Linked DNA regions of Anolis sagrei. The protein of the gene in region 2 interacts with the protein of the main gene of each other region in a biochemical or structural test. Links are inferred from orthologs where the notes say so. Each region holds a gene or a part of one and is shown on either strand. Other genes may lie near its edges. The genes, in order: MINK1, LATS1 and HTRA2.

What was found.
Region 1: of the proteins of LATS1 (region 2) and MINK1, one has a biochemical effect on the other in vitro, tested with the Homo sapiens proteins (2 studies listed by BioGRID). The link is inferred for Anolis sagrei from reciprocal best matches to the Homo sapiens genes LATS1 and MINK1.
Region 3: the proteins of LATS1 (region 2) and HTRA2 form a complex in vitro, tested with the Homo sapiens proteins (2 studies listed by BioGRID, with this or other methods). The link is inferred for Anolis sagrei from reciprocal best matches to the Homo sapiens genes LATS1 and HTRA2.

What each region holds. Positions count from the first base shown.
Region 1 is NC_090026.1:1,089,498-1,096,818, reverse strand, and holds the start of MINK1 (misshapen-like kinase 1), read right to left. Parts: upstream 3,028-7,321; 5' UTR 2,855-3,027; coding exon 2,798-2,854; intron 1-2,797. UniProt on the Homo sapiens protein: Serine/threonine kinase which acts as a negative regulator of Ras-related Rap2-mediated signal transduction to control neuronal structure and AMPA receptor trafficking.
Region 2 is NC_090021.1:73,306,976-73,313,908, reverse strand, and holds the start of LATS1 (serine/threonine-protein kinase LATS1), read right to left. Parts: upstream 3,021-6,933; 5' UTR 2,735-3,020; intron 1-2,734. Other genes in the region: nucleoporin Nup43, read right to left, coding at 5,448-5,644, 6,711-6,833. UniProt on the Homo sapiens protein: Negative regulator of YAP1 in the Hippo signaling pathway that plays a pivotal role in organ size control and tumor suppression by restricting proliferation and promoting apoptosis.
Region 3 is NC_090025.1:3,653,926-3,660,944, reverse strand, and holds the start of HTRA2 (serine protease HTRA2, mitochondrial), read right to left. Parts: upstream 3,065-7,019; 5' UTR 2,972-3,064; coding exon 2,637-2,971; intron 1-2,636. Other genes in the region: lipid droplet-regulating VLDL assembly factor AUP1, read left to right, coding at 3,368-3,450, 3,548-3,685.

The DNA.
Region 1 (7,321 bases), on a different chromosome or scaffold from region 2:
TCTATCTCTTCACCCGTGTCTTTCTTTTTCTATCTATCCATTCACCAATACATTTCTCACTGTGTCTCTAACTATCCATCCATCCACCAATACATTTCTCTCTCTATCTCTTCACCTGTGTATTTTTATCTATCTATCTATCTATCTATCTATCCATTCACCTGTGTCTCTATCCATCCATTCACCAATACATTTCTCTCTTTATCTTTCTATCTCTTCACCTGTGTCTTTTTCTATCCATCCATTCACCTGTGTTTTTCTATCCATCCATTCACCAATACATTTCTTACTTTTCTCTATCAATTCACCTATGTCTCTAACTATCCATCCATCCATCCACCAATACATTTCTCTCTCTATCTCTTCACCCGTGTATTTTTCTATCTATCCATCCATTCACCTGTGTCTCTACCCATCCATTCACCAATACATTTCTCTCTTTCTCTATCTTTCTATCTGTTCACCTGGGTCTTTTTCTATCCATTCATTCACCAATACATTTCTCTCTTTATCTTTCTATCTCTTCACCTGTGTCTCTATCTATCCATCCATTCACCAATACATTTCTCTCTTTCTCTTTCTTTCTATCTATTCACCTGTGTCTTTTTCTATCTATCCATCCATTCACCTGTGTCTCTATCTATCCATTCACCAAAACATTTCTCAATTTTCTCTATCAATTCACCTGTGTCTCTATCCATCCATTGACCAATACATTTCTCTCTTTTTCTCTCTCTATTCACCTGTGTCTTTATTATGATTATTATTATTATCAGAGGGCTTCAGAGTGGGGTTGCCTTTGCTGCTTTGGTTCTCCTTGTAGAGATAAGAAAAAGTGGGATATAAATAAACATAATAATAACAATTTGCCCTATTATTCCCCTTTGGAGAGATAAAGTGAGGTATAAATAATAACAATAATAATTATTATTAGGGGTTGTGCAATAGCAATTAGAAGGCAGAAGAAGGGTGGGTGTTTTAAAGTGGGATATTTATTTACTATTTATTTATTTGAGCACAGACCCAAGGCGGCAACAACAGAACAAAAAAACATGCAGTACAAAAGCTAAAACAACCTGGAAAATCATAAATATTTGAAACTGGAAACATAGTTAAAATCATATAAACATTAAAACCAAGATAAAAACCTAGAGCTTACCTACAACTTATTTGGCTTAATTAAACGCTAAATAAACATAAGAATAAGACAATTTATACATAATAAATATTATTATTATTGGTATTCGGGCCTTTTACTCCCGCACTTAAGACCTGGCTTTTTACTAGAGCATTCGAACTCTGTTAATTTTTAATTTTTGTATGTATGTATTTTATCTTTAAATCGCCTAGAGCATTCTCAGATGGAGGGCGATAAATAAGTTATTAAATGATGATGATAGCAATCAGAAAGTGGAAGAATGGGTGCTGTGTTTTTTGGTAATTCTACATAATATAATTATGTATATCGGGGATGGCACTGAATTTCAATGTCCAATGACAGTTGATTTCTTTGTAATTCTACGTAATACATAGCTGGTGGTTGTAAACTGTCCCATAATTTTAATGCACTTTAGTAGTCATTTTTTCATTATGATGAAAATGTACTAGATGAGTTTTTATTATGTGTTTATTAGTTATTTTATATGGTTTTAATTGATTTACTTTGGTTAGTAATTCTAAGTTTTGCATGTGCGTTGTAATGTATTTTTTGGGTTTTAAGTCCCTTCTGCTGTGTTTTTTAGTGTTTTTATGAGTGATGGTCACTCATTGGCCAAATGTGCTGCGCGATGCCCTTCCTGCAGACACAACGTTTGCGCAGTTTAATAATCTTTTCTCATGTTTCGATGATACAACCCATTAGGAAATGACACTGACAACCCAGGAACATAGTGTAACATATTATAATAATATATAAGATCATAAGATCATACTATACAATATAATAATACTAGCCGTCCCCTGCCACGCGTTGCTGTGGCCCAGTGTGTGTATATGTGTTTTGTGTGTGTGTGTGTGTATATATATATTTTGTGTGTTTATATGTATACATGCATATTGCATATGTGTGTGCTTGTCTATATGCATATTTGTGTATATGTATGTATGTGTATATGTATATGTGTGCATATGTGTATATATATGTGTGCATGTATATGTGTATTTGTATATATATATGTGTGTATGTGTGTATTTGTATATGTATATTTGTGTGTGCTTGTGCATATATATACACGTGTGTATGTATGAATGTGTGCATGTGTATATGTATATGAGTGTATGTGTATATGTATATATGGTGTATTTTTGGAGTTTTTAAGTCTGTTCTGCTGGGGTTTTGTGTGTGTGTGTGTGTTTATGGATGATGGACACACGTTGGCCTGAGAGGTGCCTTGTGTCCAAATTTGGTGTCCATTCCCCCAGTGGTGATTAAGTTCTGTTAATCCCACAAACGAATATTACATTTTTATTTATATAGATTATTATTATTATGTGAATCGTGAATGGCATTTAATTTCAAAGTGCACTGAATGCAGGAAAGAAAGGAGGAGGCTTTGGAGAGGGACAATAACAACAACAACAACAACAACAATAATAGGGAGAAAGGTAAGAAAAGGGAGCCAGGCAGCTACGGTGGCCCTGAGAGCTCAAAAAGCGCCTTTTCAGCAGGGAGGGAGGGAGGCCATGGCATTTCCTGCAGCGGAAGCAACGAGAGGGAAGGAAAGAAAGAGGGAGGGGAACAGGAAGGGGAGGTGGGGGGGGCTGAAGCAGATGACCCCTGACCCTTGACCCCGCTCACCCTGAGGGCGGAGAGGTCGATGTCGTCGAGGCTGCGGGCGGGGGCCGGGTCGGCCATCCTTCCTTCCTTCTTCCTTCCTCCTTTCCTTTTCCCTCAAGGCTGCGGCCTAGTCTCTCCCATCCTCTTCCTTCAAACCTTCCTTCCTCTTCGCCTTCTCGCTTCGACTGACTGACTGACTGACAGGGAAGCACTTGCGCCGCACTGCGCCTGCGCAGAACAGCGGGTGGGCGGGGACTCCCCTGCGCCTGCGTCTTGGGCGCTCATTAGCGGGCGGGGAAAAGCGCGCATGCGTGCCAGAGCTCCCTGCACTATCGGTAGGCGTGGACTCTACTGCGCATGCGTTGTGGACGCTCATCCGCAGACAGGAGGAGAACGAAAGGAGTGCGCATGTGTGCACGCTCAATGGGCGTGGACTCTACTGCGCATGCGTTGTGGACGCTCATTAGCGGACGGGGGAAAGCGCGCATGCGTGCCAGAGCCCGCTGCACTATCGGTAGGCGGGGACTCCACTGCGCATGCGTCTCGGGCGCTCATTAGCGGGCGAGGGGAAAGCGCGCATGCGTGCCAGAGTCCGCTGCACTATTGGTAGGCGCGGACTCCAGCGCGCATGCGTCGTGGACACTCATCCGCAGACAGAAGCGAGGGAAACGAAAGGAGGGCGCATGTGTGCAAGCTCGATGGGCGTGGACTCTACTGCGCATGCGTTGTGGACGCTCATCCTCAGGAGGGAAACGCAAAGAGTGCGCATGCGTGCAGGCTCGATAGACGAGGACTCTACAGCGCATGCGTTGTGGACGCTCATCCGCATACAGAAGGAGGACGAAAGGAGTGCGCATGCGTGTACTCTCGATGGGCGTGGACTCTGCTGCGCATGCGTCGTGGACGCTCATCCGCATACAGAAGGGAGGCGAACGAAAAGAGTGCGCATGTGTGCACGCTCGATGGGCGTGGACTCTACTGCGCATGCGTTGTGGACGCTCCTCGGCAGAGAGGGCGGGAGGGGAAGAGACCACGCATGCGTACCACAGATTGAACGCTGAAGCCTCTTCCAGGGAAAGTCCCCGGATGGAGCTAAGGCACGAAGGAGCGAGGCACAGAAAAATGGCGCATGCGTACAAAGTAGTTTCCAGGAGGGGAAAGCAAAAAGGGTTTCTAGACTGCGCAGGCGTGGAAAGGAGACAGGAGTGGCGGAAGTGCTTTAAAACCAAGCCGATCGGCGGCGCCATGACGAGGCGGGGCTAATGGAGGCGGAGTGTTGGGAAAGGGATTGAGTGTGGCGGAAGTAAAGTCACACCTTGGCAGAGAGGCGTGAGGGCGCATGCGCGAGTGAGAAAAGGCGGGAAAAATGCACGAGGAAGTTGCCCTGACCCTGGAAGGGAAGAGATTAGCAAGTGCAGAGACCATTGTCAAAGAACATTCCTTGCAAGGACTGTAACATGCAAGAGATCATCCAGAGCTTTGGGGTGCGATGTCACTTGTATGCAGATGACATCCAACTCTGTCACTCCTTCCCACCTGCTACTAAGGAGGCTGTCTAGACCTTGAACCGGTGCTTGGCCGCTGTGACGGTCTGGATGAGGGCGAACAAACTGAAATTGAATCCAGACAAGACAGAGGTCCTCCTGGTCAGTCGCAAGGCCGAACAGGGTATAAGGTTACAGCCTGTGTTGGATGGGGTTACACTCCCCCTGAAGATGCAGGTTCGCAGCTTGGGTGTGATCCTGGACTCATCGCTAAGCCTGGAACCCCAGGTTTCGGCGGTGACCAGGGGAGCATTCGCACAGCTAAAGCTTCTGCGCCAACTGCGCCCGTACCTTGGAAAGTCTGATTTGACCACAGTAGTCCACGCTCTGGTTACATCCCGTTTAGACTACTGCAACGCTCTCTACGTGGGGTTGCCTCTGGAGACTGCTCGGAAGCTGCAGCAAGTCCAATGCTCGGCAGCCAGACTACTAACGGGGGCTGGGTACAGAGAGCATACTACTCCGCTGTTACACCAGCTCCACTGGCTGCCAATTAGCTTCCGAGCACAATTCAAAGTGCTGGTGTTGACCTATAAAGCCCTAAACGACTCCAGCCCTGTTTACCTCTCCCCTATGAACCATCAAGATTACTAAGATCGTCTGGAGGGGCCCTGCTCTCAGTCCCGCCGGCCTCACCAGCACAGCTGGTGGGGATGAGGGACAGGGCCTTCTCAGTGGTAGCCCTGCGACTCTGGAACTCTCTTCCGCCAGAGGTTAGAACCGCCCCAACAATCCTGACATTTAGGAAACAGGTGAAGTCGTGGTTATGGAGACAGGCTTTTGAAGAATGAGACAACGATCTGGATGGAAGACGGTGTATATTCGATTTTAGTATGACGACTGACCACTGTAGTTTTAAATATATATGCTTTTTTAATGTTTTATTGTAATGTGTATTTTGATATTTTACCGATTGTATGTGTTTTTATGGTTGGAAACCGGGCTGAGTCCCTCTTATGAGGTGAGAAGCTTGGTATATAAAACTTTTAAATAAATAAATAACAAAGAATCATGCCCTGGCCTCGGAGGATTTGGCCACCAGGGAAATGATTGCTTGGCAAATCTTGATTATATTACAATAGGACAAGGGGAATCAGAATCCTAGAGTTGGAAGAGACCTCCTGGGCCATCCTCCAGTCCAACCCCATTCTGCCCAGAAGCAGGAATATTGCATTCAAAGCACCCCTGACAGATGGCCATCCAGCCTCTATTTCAAAGCTTCCAAAGAAGGAGCCTCCACCACAGCCTTCGAAAAGTTCCCCCCTCCTGACCTGTCACACATTCAACTCTCTCACTGAAGGCATCCATTTAAGTTTCCCCCCATTGTTCCTCTGTTTTGGTGTAAAAGGAAAACCCGGATTATGTTGGTATCGCCAGCATCAATGTATATTTTACTCAATCACCAGACAATAGTAAAGCTTCGCTCGTAGGCCATTTTAGGACTCGCCAAGCCCCTGGACATTTCCTGATACCATAATCCACTCAAGAATGCATTGTATTCCCTTGTCTCGCCTCCCTCCCTCCCGATTCGCTGGAGCGCCTAGGCAGCAAAAGCCTCCTGATTGGCTCTGGCGCACCACAGAAGCCCTGTGATTGGCCCAGGCGCTTGGAGGGGGGTGGCCGAGCCTCCTCCCAGCACCAGCCAATCACCTTCAAGCCAGGCGAGGGGCGGAGAGCGGGAGATTTGAACCACATAACTCTGTATTTCTATAAAAATGGCATTTATTTGTGTACATGTTAGCTAAGCTTGGCGAAAGATTGCTGCTTTGCATCCTTTTCAGCTGAATCACAATAAAATCATCTTGGTGGCGCTTTCTTCTGTGGCAGTCATTAGGAAAAAAGTAATTATAAAATAATGAAATTAATGAATTAGTCTTACCTTTAAGGCTTTTCTGAGGCTGGAGGGAAGAATTCTGGTGAAAAGGGAAATTAACAGATGGAAATAGAACTAGGACAAGGAAGGAACCATATCTTAAGTCAATATTTGAGGAAGCCAAGGCTAAGGCTGAAGGCTGAGGTAGGAAACCTGGCTCAAAAGGTAAATCGATAATTATTGATCCAAAACAAACATCTGAAGATATGGTACAACAGCGCCATCTATCCTCCATCTGATGTAAATAGCAGGTAATTCAGTCCTATGATATTCTAATAAGAATATAGGAAAATAATGTGAAAGTAATTACAGAAGAATTAATAAGGGAAATGCTTGCTTTGAATAAGTTAAAGAACATATATGAAGATACATATATGAAGATATATGTGTGAAGAGATATATGAAGTTAAGATTCACTTTTACGTAATTCATCTAGGAACGTGGTCAGCTGATGAAAGGAGAGCAGTGGAAAATATAGTATCTTGCCAACAAGTGTTCTTGGCCGCGGTTTCTCGAGGACAAACTGATATTGATTAGATTGTGTAAATGTCAAGAGAGTTATGCGCATGTGTAAACTAGGTAATTCTGCCTATAAATACTGGATGCTTTTGGGGCAGTGCTCTGTGCCACATCAGCCATTTTGGGAAGCTGGAGCACCCTTACCCGGGTAAGATTAAAATTCTGTGAACTTGCAAAAGCTGTCTCTGTCTCTTCCTTCTTCGCTGATCTCCTGGATTCTTGGAAATTGGGGACCCTCCCGCTACACTTCAACTTTGGTGAGATTCTTTTTGGGAACCTAGGGAAATTATTTTAAATTGGGCTTCTCTTTGCTCCCCATTGTAGCGATCCCTCTTTGGTGGGTCCGCAGGGTCTCTCCTACAGGGCCAGGCCCTTCTAATAAAATCCTCCATGATTTCAACCTCAAGCCGTCAGGTTGATGATGAGGATGACCGTATCACCTAAACATGCGCAGATATAAACGAAGCACATGTCGGCAGACAGAAGCCTCTACTAATGAACTGCCAGGAACGAGAAACTGCACAGCGAAAAAGGCAAACTTGTTTATTGCACTCATCAACAAGCAAGAAGCACCCGGAATATATTGCAGCACAGAAAAGGCACCATGAG
Region 2 (6,933 bases):
TTTTTTCCCTAATTCATATTCCTTTCTCTATTGTTATTTCTATATATGTGGACATTTTAAGATCAGTGATGCAAGTTAGCCCCTATTTCACACACACACTCAAATTGTAACACCTCAAATAATCTCTTTTTAGCTTTTTCTAAGAATGTTCCCTCTATACATCTTTAAAAAGAAACAATTTGTTTCCTGCATGCCCCGAAGTTCTAACCTGAACTTCTCCATGAGTCAAAGCAAAATCCATACGATTGGCTCCAAACCCCTTTCTTGACATATAATAAATTTATCTTATACATGAGTACAGGCAGTCCCCGCATTATAAACATTCAACTTACAAATGGGGAAGAGACAACAGGAAGTGAGAGACATTTAGTCCTAGGAAGAGAAATTCACTCCTGAAAGAGTTATCATGGAGAAATGGTGTCTCCACTGAAGCTTTCTCTCCCATCCTTTGTGACCGCCTATCTTTGTGATCGCATCTCCTACCATAAACCTGCATGATCTCTTCGATCTTCTGGAGAGGCCCTCCTTTTGCCCTTCCTCTATCACAAGCACGACTTATGGGAACAAGGGAGAGAGCCTTCTCCGCTGTGGCCCCCCGACTTTGGAACTTGCTACCCGGGGAGATTAGGCAAGCCCCCACCCTAGCAGCCTTTAAGAAAGATCTAAAAACTTGGCTATTCTGATGTGCTTTCGGAGAGTGACCATGCAACCCATTTTGTTTGTTTCCATCCATAGTTGTCCTCACGATGCACTTTCCCCCTGTCCTTAATAAAGCCAAACCCCACTGCTCCCCATTCTTGGACTCCTCCCTCACAAATATACTTTTTATTCCTGGATCCATTAGCATTTCTATATTATTTCTGCGATGCCATAGAAAAGGTTCAAACCTTCAATATGTTGGGTTGCAACCTTTTCTAAGTATCTCAACTCCTTCTTTAAAGTAAAATAGAAAGGTTGAGCATCTTTACTCAGAATTCTGAAATACTCCAAAATTCACAATGGTCTAGAACTGTGGCTAAGATAGTGCCACATCTGCTTTTTAACAGTTCAATATACACAAACATTCTTCCGTGCACAAAATTTCCAATACTGTATATAGCATTACTTTCAGGCTATGTCATTGTGTTCATACATGCAAATAGAGTTATCCCAAAATCCAAAACACTTTGGGGCCCAAGAATTTCTGATAAGGAATGGTTAACTTGCATTAGCCCTAAATATTAATTTCCCATTTCCTTTTTCACTTCCTTTGAGGCCATCTTCATGTTAGACATCAAACTGTCAATATAAAAAGTTGTGTATTTTATTACTTCTTATTGTTTATATAGCTAGCAATTCTAATATTTAAAAATGACAACATGCAGCATCAAAATACACAAAAGCAGAGGCCTTACTTTCTTGAAAAAGGCAACTGCACATTGTTTGAATTCACTGTGCCAGCTAAAATGTTGGAATTCAAACATACAACAAATCTGTGTCCCTAAAGGTGACTGCATTCTTTAATATGAGGAAGAGAAAGAGCCAATTACAGACCAATTGCATGACACGCAAATTCATGAAGCGTTCCATATTTTTAGGGATCCAAGAAGATATTGTATTTATTTTATTTATTGTATTGTATATTACTTGTAAGCTTCTCTGAGTCCCCTTTGGGGCGAGAAAGGTAATAAATAAATAAATAATTCTGTGTTGGATTTGCATCACCCATTCTTTGTGATTTTTCCGGCTTCTGATCCAAATAATTGCTTTGAAATATTGTCCACAGAAAAGATGGTTATAGCAAAATCTGGATAATTACGAGATATTCGCTGACTTGTCATAAAACAAAACAAAGGGAACACCAATCAGGACATATGGAAGACACTAATCTCTGAAGGCAGAATAACCAACAGGTGCAAGGGAGTGAAGTGACTTAAAAGTCGAGAGAGAGAGACACCGGGAATGGGCAAACTTTGGTCCTCCAGGTGTTTTGGACTTCAACTGTTAGGAATTGTGGGAGCTGAAGTCCAAAACACCTGGAGGGCCAAAGTTTGCCCAAGCCTGATATAGGCTATGGGCCCTTCCATAAAGCCATATAAGAGCTGTGAGAGAAGGCTTTCTCTTCCACACAGCCCTATATCCCAGAATATCGTGGCAGGAAATCCCACATTTTCCGCTTTGAACTGGAATATATGGCAGTGTGGACTCAGATAACCCAGTTCAAAGCAGATATTGTGGTATTTTCTGCCTTGATATTGTAGGATATAGGGCTGTGTGGAAGGGCCCCAAGTCTTAACATCATCACAAGAATATCAAGAAAAGCTCTCTCATGGTCCTTCCACACAGCCATATAACCCAAAATATCAAGGGAGAAAATCCCACAATATGCGCTTTGAACTGCGTTACCTGAGTCCACACTGCCATATAGTCCAGGTTCAAAGCGGCTAATGTGGGACTTTATTCAGCTGTGTGGAAGGGGCCTATAAAGGGTCTCTCCTTCATCCGCTTCGTGGCTTTTAAGGCCCTGGTAACTCCCTTATTTTGGAGTGTCTTTCCCACGGAGAGTCCAGACCTCGCCTATCTTTTTGCTCTATGCCTCCCTCTCCGATTCACACCATGCGAACAGATCCTGACTGAACACACGTGGGGAGCGGTTTTTGTCCCGACGTGACCACACCGCAGGCCGAGGCGTGTCGCGCGCAGGGCCTTCCCGGCCTTCCCTGAGGCGGAGCGCGAGCCAGCCCTTGCCACCCACCTGCTTTGCCGGAGAGAGAGAGAGAGAGAGACGCGGGGGGGGGGGGGGGAGGCGAGGCGGGGACAAGGCCTCGGCTTCGGGGGCTGCTCAGAGAGTGGTGTCGGCGTCTACGCGGCTTCGGCCCCCAGCACTATGGCAGCGACAGCGGCGTCCTGTCCCGTCCCTCCCCTCGCCAGCTCTCCCCCTCCCTCTTTTCGGGGTTCAGTTCCGGGCTGCCATTTTGTCGGTGGGCCTCTTTCTCGCCCCAGGTTCCCGGATGTGAAAACTTTTCTCCCGGCCTCCTTTGCGCGTTTCGCCGGCAGTCTGCTCTCGCGCACCCTTCCTCTCCCCCCCCCTTTGGAGAAGGAGGCCTTCATTCGGGCGCCGCCTCCGAGACAGGCAGGGAGCGGGCGCCTCAGCCACACCACGGCTGGAGGAGGGCTCTTTGACTCGGGCCTGGGCCAACTTGGGCCCTCCCTGCAGGCCTTTTGGACTTCAACTCCCACCATTCCTCGCAGCCTCAGGCCCCTTCCTTTTCCCCCTCGCCCGCTTAACAGTTTGACTCAGGCCTGGACCAACTTGGGCCCTCCCTCCTGGTGTTGTGGACTTCAACTCCCATCATTCCTCAGGCCCCTTCCTTTCCCCTCTCAGCTGCTTAGCTGTTTGACTCAGCCCTGGACCAACTTTGGCCCTCCCTGCAAGTGTTTTGGACTTCAACTCCCACCATTCCTCGCAGTCTCAGGCCCCTTCCTTTTCCCCCTCAGCCGCTTAGCAGCTTGACTCAGGCCTGGGCCAACTTGGGCCCTCCCTGCAGGCCTTTTGGACTTCAACTCCCACCATTCCTCGCAGCCTCGGGCCAGGGCCGTAGCCAGAAAATTTTTTTGGGGAGGGTTGAAAATTTCGGGGGTGGGGAGAGGAGTTGAAACCTGCCTCTTAGCTCATGCTGAAGCAAAGAGTACAGCAGGGGACAGAGCAGCCTTCAATAGCCTGCAGCTCTGCCCCTGTCAACCACCTCCACCAAGTCTGCCCTCCTTAATGAGAGCATTCAACACACACACACCCAACTTGGTTGCTTCGCTACATCAGCTATTGCTGCAAGTAATGACAGTGTGAATAAATTGTCAATATTTGCTTGAAATAGTGCTTGCAGTTCTGGAGGGACTCTTAATTTTTTGTGTCTCATAGACTTAGCATGGGGATTTGGTTAACCAGTTAAAATTCATGAGTAAACCAGTTTTTTTTTAACCTGAAACATTTCGGGGGGGGGGGGGGGTTGAACCCCTAACCCCCCCCCCCCTTGCTACAGGCCTGCCTCAGGCCCCTTTCTTTTCCCCCTCAATTGTTTAGCAGTTTGACTCAGGCCTGGGCCAACTTGGGCCCTCCCTGCAGTTTTGGACTTCAACTCCCACCATTTCTAAGGCTGGATCTCGCATTTCTCGCAGCCTCAGGCCTTCCTGTGAATTGTATTAAATGACAGTGTAGACTCATATAATCCAGTCCAATCTGCATTCTGAAACTACATTATATGGCAGTATAATAATAACAACAAAACCTTATTTGTATCCCACCCTATTTCCCCAAAGGGACGCAAGGTGATTTCCAACATAAAAGGCAAAACATTCAATTGCCAAAAAAAAATAAAAATAAAAATCACAGATTAAAATAAAAGCATCATAAAACACAAAAATCCTACTAAACACAACAATAAAAATTTAAACTGATTGCAGTTATAACTCCCATCAGACAAGGCTCAACAAAAACCAATGTCCAGGACTATAAAACGGGCATGGTTAACTATAAAAGGGCTGGGCAAGGAATAATGGAAACAGGGTATCATAGGGCTGAGGAAGTGATGAAGGTGTAGAACCAGGAAGCTGGTTAAATCTCAGCATACTGATCCTGAAATCAGGCAGACTGAAAATCCTTGAGATTTACCATCAAGTAATGCCAGGATGATAATAGAAATGAAATGCTAATGATGTATGCTTTCACAATATTTCTGACTTATGGCAACTATATAAATGGGTTTTCTGGGGTGGAGAGTATTTGACTTTCTCAAGGTCAAAAAGTGGGTTTCCACGGCCAAGCAAGAAACTGAACTCTTGCCTCCAGCCATAGTTTAATGCTTAAACCACAACACAATGCTGGCTCTAATGAAATATAGGCTAAATGTTGTTTTATAGTTTACTGCAGGAACAGGGCAGTTGAAGTTCTCTGGATATTAGGTTCCAGTTCCCAATCTGGTCAGTATTAGGGTATAGATTATTAACACACTTATTCACCTCTGCTTTAGTGAAATAGATAAAATATTTTTGTACCTAATGATCTGTTTCTGTTTTCCTTTGCTGGATGATATTTTCTTCTAACATTGCCGAAAAGTCTCTTAAATGTAATATATTGTGTTTTTATTTATCAGAATTTAATGAAAACAATTTTTTGCTTAGAATGTTGTGTTGCCATTATGGTTAACACAATATAACACAGTTCATACTGCTGATATGGGTCACTTTATCCTTTGTTGTAGTTTTCAGCATTGGTAAACTTCTGGGAAACAGAAATAATCAATTTATGAACAATAACTGTTTACTGTTTATTTTATGCAAGAATTAGATTAAAAAAACTAATGCTGTAACATGGATTGTATTGCATTTGCCCTTCTATATTCTTAATTGACATAAAATAACATGAAATTCAGTATTGTGAAGCTAAAGTTTCGAGTCAGAGCTAAAGATAACTATGCGAAGAAGTTTTTCTTAACATAGATAGATTCTGCATCAGTTCCATATACAAGACATGATCCTAAGACATCTAAACTATTAACAGACAGTGTAGGATTTGAAATTAAATTTGTGATTTCTCTAGTAGGATCGTTCCTTAACCATGCACTAATCACAGACTGAGACTGAGGCAAAAATGTGGTACTTCTCCCACCTGAAAACAAAACACAAAAATAGTTATCATCACAACTGCATATTTTGCAGATTAATGTAATAGTTAAGACAAGCACATGCACTTTATACTTAAACATTAGGCCTGGGTAACAACGGAAAAATTTGTTTCTAAAATCGATTCGTTTTTTGGGGGTTTTTGCGTTTCGATATTTAAAAGAATTCCGAAATTTTTCTTTTAAAAAGTTCGATATTTATGAAATTTCGTAAATGTAAAAAAAAATTACGAAACATTAACGAAACAAATACGAAACAATAACGAATCGATTCGTTAATGGCGGACGCGACCGCGCAATACGCTAAAAAACCTCCAAATGGGACAGGGGGAACTTCTGAAGCTTCCCTCTCCCTCTGTTGTTGACTGTTGGTGTGATATTATAATTTTTTTTCACTAATTAAACAAAAAACAACTATAAAACTTGCCCCAGACATGCGGAAATAATAACGAAATGAACTCAAACCGATAACGAAACGAATACATAACGAATCCGAAGCATTTACGAAACGAATTTAAAAATTCGTTTCGTTTTTAAGTTGCTCCAGAATGGTTCGTTATCGCTTCGTTATTTTAAAAAAAAAATAACGAATTTTTAACGAATTACGAATTAACGAAACGAAACCGCCCAGCCCTATTAAACATCCTTAAAGTGTTGAGCTTTGTCACTAATGTGCCAGAAATACAGCTTATACGCTATAGACCTCCAGAACCATTAAACCATTATCTCCTTGCTTCATGAGAAGTTAGAGTAAAAGCAAATATTTAAATATTAAGTCGGTATCACTTTTAGGCTCTTCTCCCCACAAGTAAAAGTGGAGGTTTCTTTGTCTGAGTAGGAATTTGTACCCTGGTCTTGAGTTGTAGTCCAACACTCAAAACACTATACCACACTGGAATATAGATCACATAAAGGTTTATTTCACCTTTATCAAGGAAGATGCATATAATGATGGAAACCAAGTGAACATGCCAAGTTAAAAATTACTGTGCTAAAAGAACGGCGGGGAATCTCTTGTCAATGCAATTGCTTAGAAGCTTAAATAAGATTTACCTGTATGAAGGTAAGATTTCCTTTCAGACACATCAGTGGAAGCATCCCAGTGCCACAGAGTTCCATCCTCTGAACATGTGAACAAGTGATCAGGATTGGAAGGATGAAAGTGCACTTCCCACACTGAAAAAAATATATGGCAAGCTTATTTTTGTAGTTTATAATGTAGACATATGCTCTGTTGGTAACTATTAATAATTCAGTATTTTGTTGCTAGAGGGCA
Region 3 (7,019 bases), on a different chromosome or scaffold from region 2:
CCACTGCTGAACGGCTCTCACAGTCAGGAAGTTCTTCCTCGTGTTGAGATGGAATCTCCTTTCCTGTAGTTTGAAGCCATTGTTCCCTTGCGTCCTAGTCTCCAAGGAAGCGGAAAACAAACTTGCTCCCTCCTCCTCCCTGTGGCTTCCTCTCACATATTTATGCATGGCTATCATATCTCCTCTCAGCCTTCTCTTCTTCAGGCTAAACATGCCCAGCTCCTTAAGCCGCTCCTCATAGGGCTTGTTCTCTAGACCCTTCAACAACACAGTATATAAAACAATTACATCATAAACACATTAACCAATTAACAACAGTAATCATACACTAACGTCTCATAACTAAAAACATGATCCAAAATCGTCATCCATTCCTCCATTCCTATGTTCATTCACTCATTGCACTGTCTATTCAAACGCCTGTTCAAATAACCAGGTTTTCACTTTTTTCCGGAATACCATTAGCGATGGGGCCGATTTAATGTCCGTGGGAAGGGCGTTTCACAGCCGAGGGGCCACCACCGAGAAGTCCCTATCTCTCGTCCCCGCCAGCTGTGCTTGTGTAGCAGGCGGGATCGAGAGCAGAGCCTCCCCGTATGATCTCAAAGTCCTGGTGGGTTCGTTCTACTATATTGTAATTTTTTGTAATGTCTTATACTTTATACTTTTTCTAATCTGTTAATATTTAATAATGTTGATTACTTTTTGGAATAGTTGTAAGTTTTATATTGTGATTGTTTTTATTTAATTTACAGTTTGTTAGTTTCTGGCATTTAATGTTTGTCACTTTTGTTGGAAACCGCCCCGAGTCCTATTATTATTATTATTATTACTAGCCATCCCTTGCCACGTGTTGCTGTGGCCCAATCTGGTGATCTGGAAAATAAAGTAATGAGAAAGTGTTGGTTTCTAATCTATGTAGTCTTTCTGCTTGTGGGTAAACAGTATTTCTTGTTGTTTCTTCGTCAGTGTTGATGTGGAGAGTGTCTGGTTTGCCTACTCTGGAACATGCAACATATAATTGTCCTTCTTTAGAGGTCCCTTTCAAATTTATGATACTATATCTGTGTGTGAGAGAGAGAATAATATACATCTATATTTATGACTGGATTCCTCATTGTCAGGAGGGCTATGATTACATTTTCCTGCCCTGGTGAAGAGTTGGACTGGGTGGCCTCAAGTATTTTCTGTTGGTCATGGGGTTCCTGTGTGGGAAGTTTGCCCCAATTCTATCGTTGGTGGGGTTCAGAATGCTCTTTGACTGTAGGTGAACTATAAAACCCAGTACCTACAACTCCCAAATGTCACGGTCTATTTTCCCTAAACTCCATCTGTGTTCATATTTGGGCATATTGAATATCTGTGCCAAGTTTGGTCCAGATCCATCATTGTTTGAGTCCACAGTGCTCTCTGGATGTAGGTGAACTACAACTCCCAAACTCAAGGTCAATGCTCATCAAACCCTTCTAGTGTTTTCTGTTGGTCATGGGAGTCCTGGTTCAATTCCATCGTTGGTGGAGTTCAGAATGCTCTTTGATTGTAGGTGAACTATAAATCCCAGAAACTACAACTACCAAATGACAAAATCAAATTGAGAGAAGGACATACATTGGGTTGTTAGGTGTATGCTGTCTAAATTTGGTGTCAATTCCCCCGGTGGTTTTTGAGTTCTGTTAATCTCACAAACGAACATTACATTTTTATTTATATACTAGCCATCCCCTGCCACGTGTTGCTGTGGCCCAGTCTTTGTATATGTGTTTTGTGTGTTTATATATATTTGGGTATATGTGTGATGTGTGTGTGGTTTTGTGCCTGCCACACATTGCTGTAGTCCTGTCTGTGTATATGTGTTTTGTGTGTGTATATATGTGTGTGTGTGTGTGTATTTGTGTTTATATATATATATGTGTGCGCGCACATATATTTGTGTTTATATGTATATATGTGGTTTTCCACATGCATTATAATGTGCGGTCCAGTCTGTGCACATGTGGTGTGTGTATATGTGTGTGCATATGTGTGTTTGCATATCTATATGTGGTTTCGTGCATGCGTTGTATTTATTTATATATATATAAATAAACATCAGACTGGCAACAAAGATCCGCCTAGTCAAAGCCATGGTATTCCCTGTAGTAACCTACGGATGTGAGAGCTGGACCTTAGGGAAGGCTGAGCGAAGGAAGAGAGATGCTTTTGAGCTGTGGTGTTGGAGGAAAGTGCTGAGAGTGCCTTGGACTGCGAGAAGATCCAACCAGTCCATCCTCCAGGAAAGAAAGCCCGGCTGCTCACTGGAGGGAAGGAGACTAGAGGGAAAGTGGAAGTCCTTTGAATGCCACATCATGAGGAGACAGCAAAGCCTTGATAAGGGAATGATGCTGGGGAAAGTGGAAGGCAAAAGGAAGAGGGGCCGACCAAGGGAAAGATGGATGGATGGCATCCTTGAAGGGACTGGACTGACCTTGAAGGAGCTGGGGGTGGTGACGGCCCACAGGGAGCTCTGGCATGGGCTGGTCCATGAGGTCATGAAGAGTCGGAGACGCCTGAACGAATGAACAACAACAATACAGTCTTATGCACAGGCCCAGCGTGCGACAGCACAATAATACTAAATAATAACCCTAAAGGCGCACCTGCCCAGGATCTCGATGTAGACGAGGGCCGGGGCGGTCCGTTCCACGACGTCGGCGATGAAGTTGTAAGTGGTGCGCGGGGAAGGCGGCGGGGAAGGCACGGCGGCCAAGAGCGCGGGGACCAGGCCTTCCTCGGGCCTCCGCCGTTTGCGAGGGAGGAAGAACAGCAGCAGCAGCCCGGCCCCCGCTCCGCACGCTCCCATGGCTGCCCAACGCCAACGAGGAGGAGACGGCGGCGGAGAAGGAGGAGGAAAAGGAGGCCTTCCTCCGCCTGAGAAGACCGCCCTCTTTCCCAACGCCAAGCACAAACCCCTCCGCATCCCCGCCGGCCACATCCTCCCTATCCCCCGGGCGAAGGAAACAAGAGACTCCCTGGGAGTAACACCGGAAGTGTAGGCCGCGGCGCCACCGGAAGTGTAGGCCGAAGCGCAGTTTTGTTTACTTCCGGGCGGGGAACCAATCAGGGCGCAGGGCTGTGCTACGCGGTGACGCACTTCCGCCCAACTGGGGCCTGTGCGAGGAGGCGACCGGAAGTGTAGTCCGAGGCGCTTTTTGGTCACTTCCGGGCGGGGAACCAATCAGGGCTCAGGGTTGTGCTACGCGGTGACGCATTTCCGCCCAACTGGGGCCTGTGCGAGGAGGCGACGCCAAGATGGCCGCCGGGCCTTGGGAGCGCTGAGGGAGAGCCCGGGAAGGGAAGGAGGAGAGGCGGGAGGCGCCGGGGAGAAGCCATGGATCCCGCGCCGCCCTCCGCAGCAGCAGCGGGCGCCTCTCCTTCCCCCGTGGGGCCCGAGCGCCTCTTCGACTCGCACCGGTGAGGGCAGGAGCGCGGCGCAGTGGATTTGGGCCTACCTCTCTCCTCAGACCCTCACGCCTCTCTTTCTCTCTCTCTGTCTCCTTCTCTCCCGCAGCCTCCCGGGAGACGGCCTGCTGGCGGTGGCGCTGCTGCTCTACGCGCCCGTGGGCCTCTGCCTGCTCCTCCTGCGCCTCTTCGTCGGACTCCACGTCTTCCTCGTCAGCTGCGCCCTCCCCGACAGCGCCCCCAGGAGGTCAGGCTCACCCCTCGCCACCATCACTGCCATTACACTCTCCCACTTCTGCCCCAGAGGCTCCTTCTTTGGAAGCTTTGAAACAGAGGCTGGATGGCCATCAGTCAGGGGTGCTTTGAATGCAATATTCCTGCTTCTTGGCAGAATGGGGATGGACTGGATGATGGCCCAGGAGGTCTCTTCCCACTCTAGGATTCTAGGATTATATGACTGTGAGAGCCATTCAGCAGTGGAACTCTCTGCCCCGGAGTGTGGTGGAGGCTCTTTCTTTGGAAGCTTTTAAAAAGAGGCTGGATGGCCATCTGTCAGGGGTGCTTTGAATGCAATATTCCTGCTTCTTGGCAGAAAGGGGTTGGACTGGATGAAGGCCCATGAGGTCTCTTCCAACTCTTTGATTCTATGATTCTATGCCTGTGAGAGCTGTTCAACAGTGGAACTCTCTGCCCTGGAGTGTGGTGGAGGCTCCTTCTTTGGAAGCTTTGAAACAGAGGCTGGATGGCCATCTGTCAGGGGTGCTTTGAATACAATACTCCTGCTTCTTGGCAGAATGGGGTTGGACTGGAGGGCCTGTTATAAGTACTTTTTAAAACATTAAATAGGTAGTGACAAGCTGGAATGTGTCCAGAGGAGGGCGACTAAAATGATCAAGGATCTGGAGAACAAGCGTTATGAGGAGCGGCTTAAGGAGCTGAGCATGTTTAGCCTGAAGAAGAGAAGGCTGAGAGGAGATATGATAACCATGTATAAATATGTGAGAGGAAGCCACAGGTAGGAGGAGGGAGCAAGCTTGTTTTCTGCTTCACTGGAGACTAGGACGCAATGGAGCAATGGCTTCAAACTCCAAGAGAGGAGATTCCATCTGAACATGAGGAAGAACTTCCTGAATCATAGAATCCAAGAGTTGGAAGAGACCTCCTGGGTCATCATCCAGTCCAACCCCATTCTACAAAGAAGCAGGAATATTGTATTCAAATCACCCCTGACAGATGGACATCCAGCCTCTGTTTAAAAGCTTCCAAAGAAGGAGCCTCCACCACACTCCCTCCGGGGCAGAGAGTTCCACTGCTGAATGGCTCTCACAGCCAGGATGTTATTCCTCATGTTCAGATGGAATCTCCTCTCTTGTAGTTTGAAGCCATGGCTCCATTGCGTCCTAGTCTCCAGGGAAGCAGAAAACAAGCTTGCTCCCTCCTCCTCCCTGTGGCTTCATCTCACATATTTATCCATGGCTAACATATCTCCTCTCAGCCTTCTTTTCTTCAGACTAAACATGCCCAGCTCCTTAAGCCGCTCCTCATGGGGCTTGTTCTCCAGACCCTTGATCATTTTACTCGCCCTCCTCTGGACACATTCCAGCTTGTCAATATCTCTCCTGAATTGTGGTGCCCAGAATTGGACACAATATTCTAACCAAGGCAGAATAGAGCATGGGGAGCATGATTTCCCTAGATCTAGACACTAGGCTCCTCTTGATGCAGGCCAAAATCCCATTAGCTTTTTTTGCTGCCACATCACATTCCTGGCTCATGTTTAACTTGTTGTCCACGAAGACTCCCAAGATCTTTTTCACACATACTGCTTCCAAGCCAGGCACCCCCCATCACCACCAGCACACTCTCTCACTTCTGCCCCGAAGTGTGGTGGAGACTCCTTCTTTGGAAGCTTTTAAGCAGAGGCTGGATGGCCATCTGTCAGGGGTGGTTTGAATGCAGTATTCCTGCTTCTTGGCAGAATGGGGTTGGACTGGATGGCCCATGAGGTCTCTTCCAACTCTTTGATTCTATGATTTTAAGAACTTCCTGACTGTGAGAGCTGTTCAGCAGTGGAACTCTCTGCCCCAGAGTGTGGTAGAGGCTCCTTCTTTGGAAGCTTTGAAACAGAGGCTGGATGGCCATCTGTCAGGGCTGATTTGAATACAGTATTCCTGCTTCTTGGCAGAATGGGGTTGGACTGGATGATGGCCCATGAGGTCTCTCCCAGCTCTATGATTCTATGATTTTAAGAACTTCCTGACTGTGAGAGCTGTTCAGCAGTTGAACTCTCAGCCCCAGACAGCTAATCACCTCTAAACAAAAGATTTCCCCAGGCAGTAACAAGCCATACCAAAAAACTGCCAGGCCATCAAATGCTAATCAAGGTGGTCAGTTGAAACATTCACCCCTAGCTCCCAACAGACAAGAGTTCTTTGTCCCACTCTGGTCATTCCTCAGATATGTTGTTGTTCATTCGTTCAGTCGTCTCCGACTCTTCGTGACCTCATGGACCAGCCCACGCCAGAGCTCCCTGTCGGCCGTCACCACCCCCAGCTCCTTCAAGGTCAGTCCAGTCCCTTCAAGGATGCCATCCATCCATCTTGCCCTTGGTCGGCCCCCCCTTTCCCCAGCATCATTCCCTTCTCTAGGCTTTGCTGTCTCCTCATGATGTGGCTTTCCTAGTTCCAACAGACCTCACTACCTCTGAGGATGCTTGCCATAGATGCAGGTGAAACGTCAGGAGAGAATGCCTCTAGAGCACGGCCAGATAGCCCAAAAAAACCTACAACAATCCGATACAAAAATTAAAATGAAGAGCTAGTTTAACAAATATAAACTTACTAGTATTTCAGTGGTGAGTGTGGGCCTGCTTTTGGCTGATGAAATAGAATTGTTGTTGTTGTGTGCTTTCAAGTCGTTTCAGACTTAGGTTGACCTTGAGCGAGGGCCGGGTAAATGACCTTAGAGGGCCGTATCTGGCCCCCGGGCCTTAGTTTGAGGACCCCTGTTCTAGAGGCATTCTCTCCTGACGTTTTGTCTGCATCTGTGGCAAGCATCCTCAGAGACTGTGAGGTTTGTTGGAAACTGGAAAATTGGGTTTATATATCTGGAAGGTTCAGGGTGGGAGAAAGAACTCTTGTTTGTTGGAGGCAAGTGTGGAGTTGCCTTTGAAGACGGTCCGGAAGCTTCAACTAGTCCATGTGGTTCATGTGGATTTCAGTGGCTTCTCTGTGTAGTCTGACCTGGTGGTTGTGAGAGTGGTCCAGGATTTCTGTGTTGTCAAATAAAATGCTGTGTCCAGGTGGGTTCAGCAGGTGTTCTGCTATGGCTGACTTCTCTGGCTGAAGTAGTCTGCAGTGCCTTTCATGTTCCTTGACTCGTGTTTGGGCAATGCTGCTGCGTTTGGTAGACTTGTCCACAGCTGCATGGTATATGGTGTACCCCTGCAGAAATTGTTCTTTGCTAAACGTAGCATTTGTTGGATTGCCATACAGCAAGGGAACCACTGACCACACAGGGAAGCAGATGAGGAAACACAAAATACAAACTATCTACAGACTCACTAAGAAAATCCAACAAAT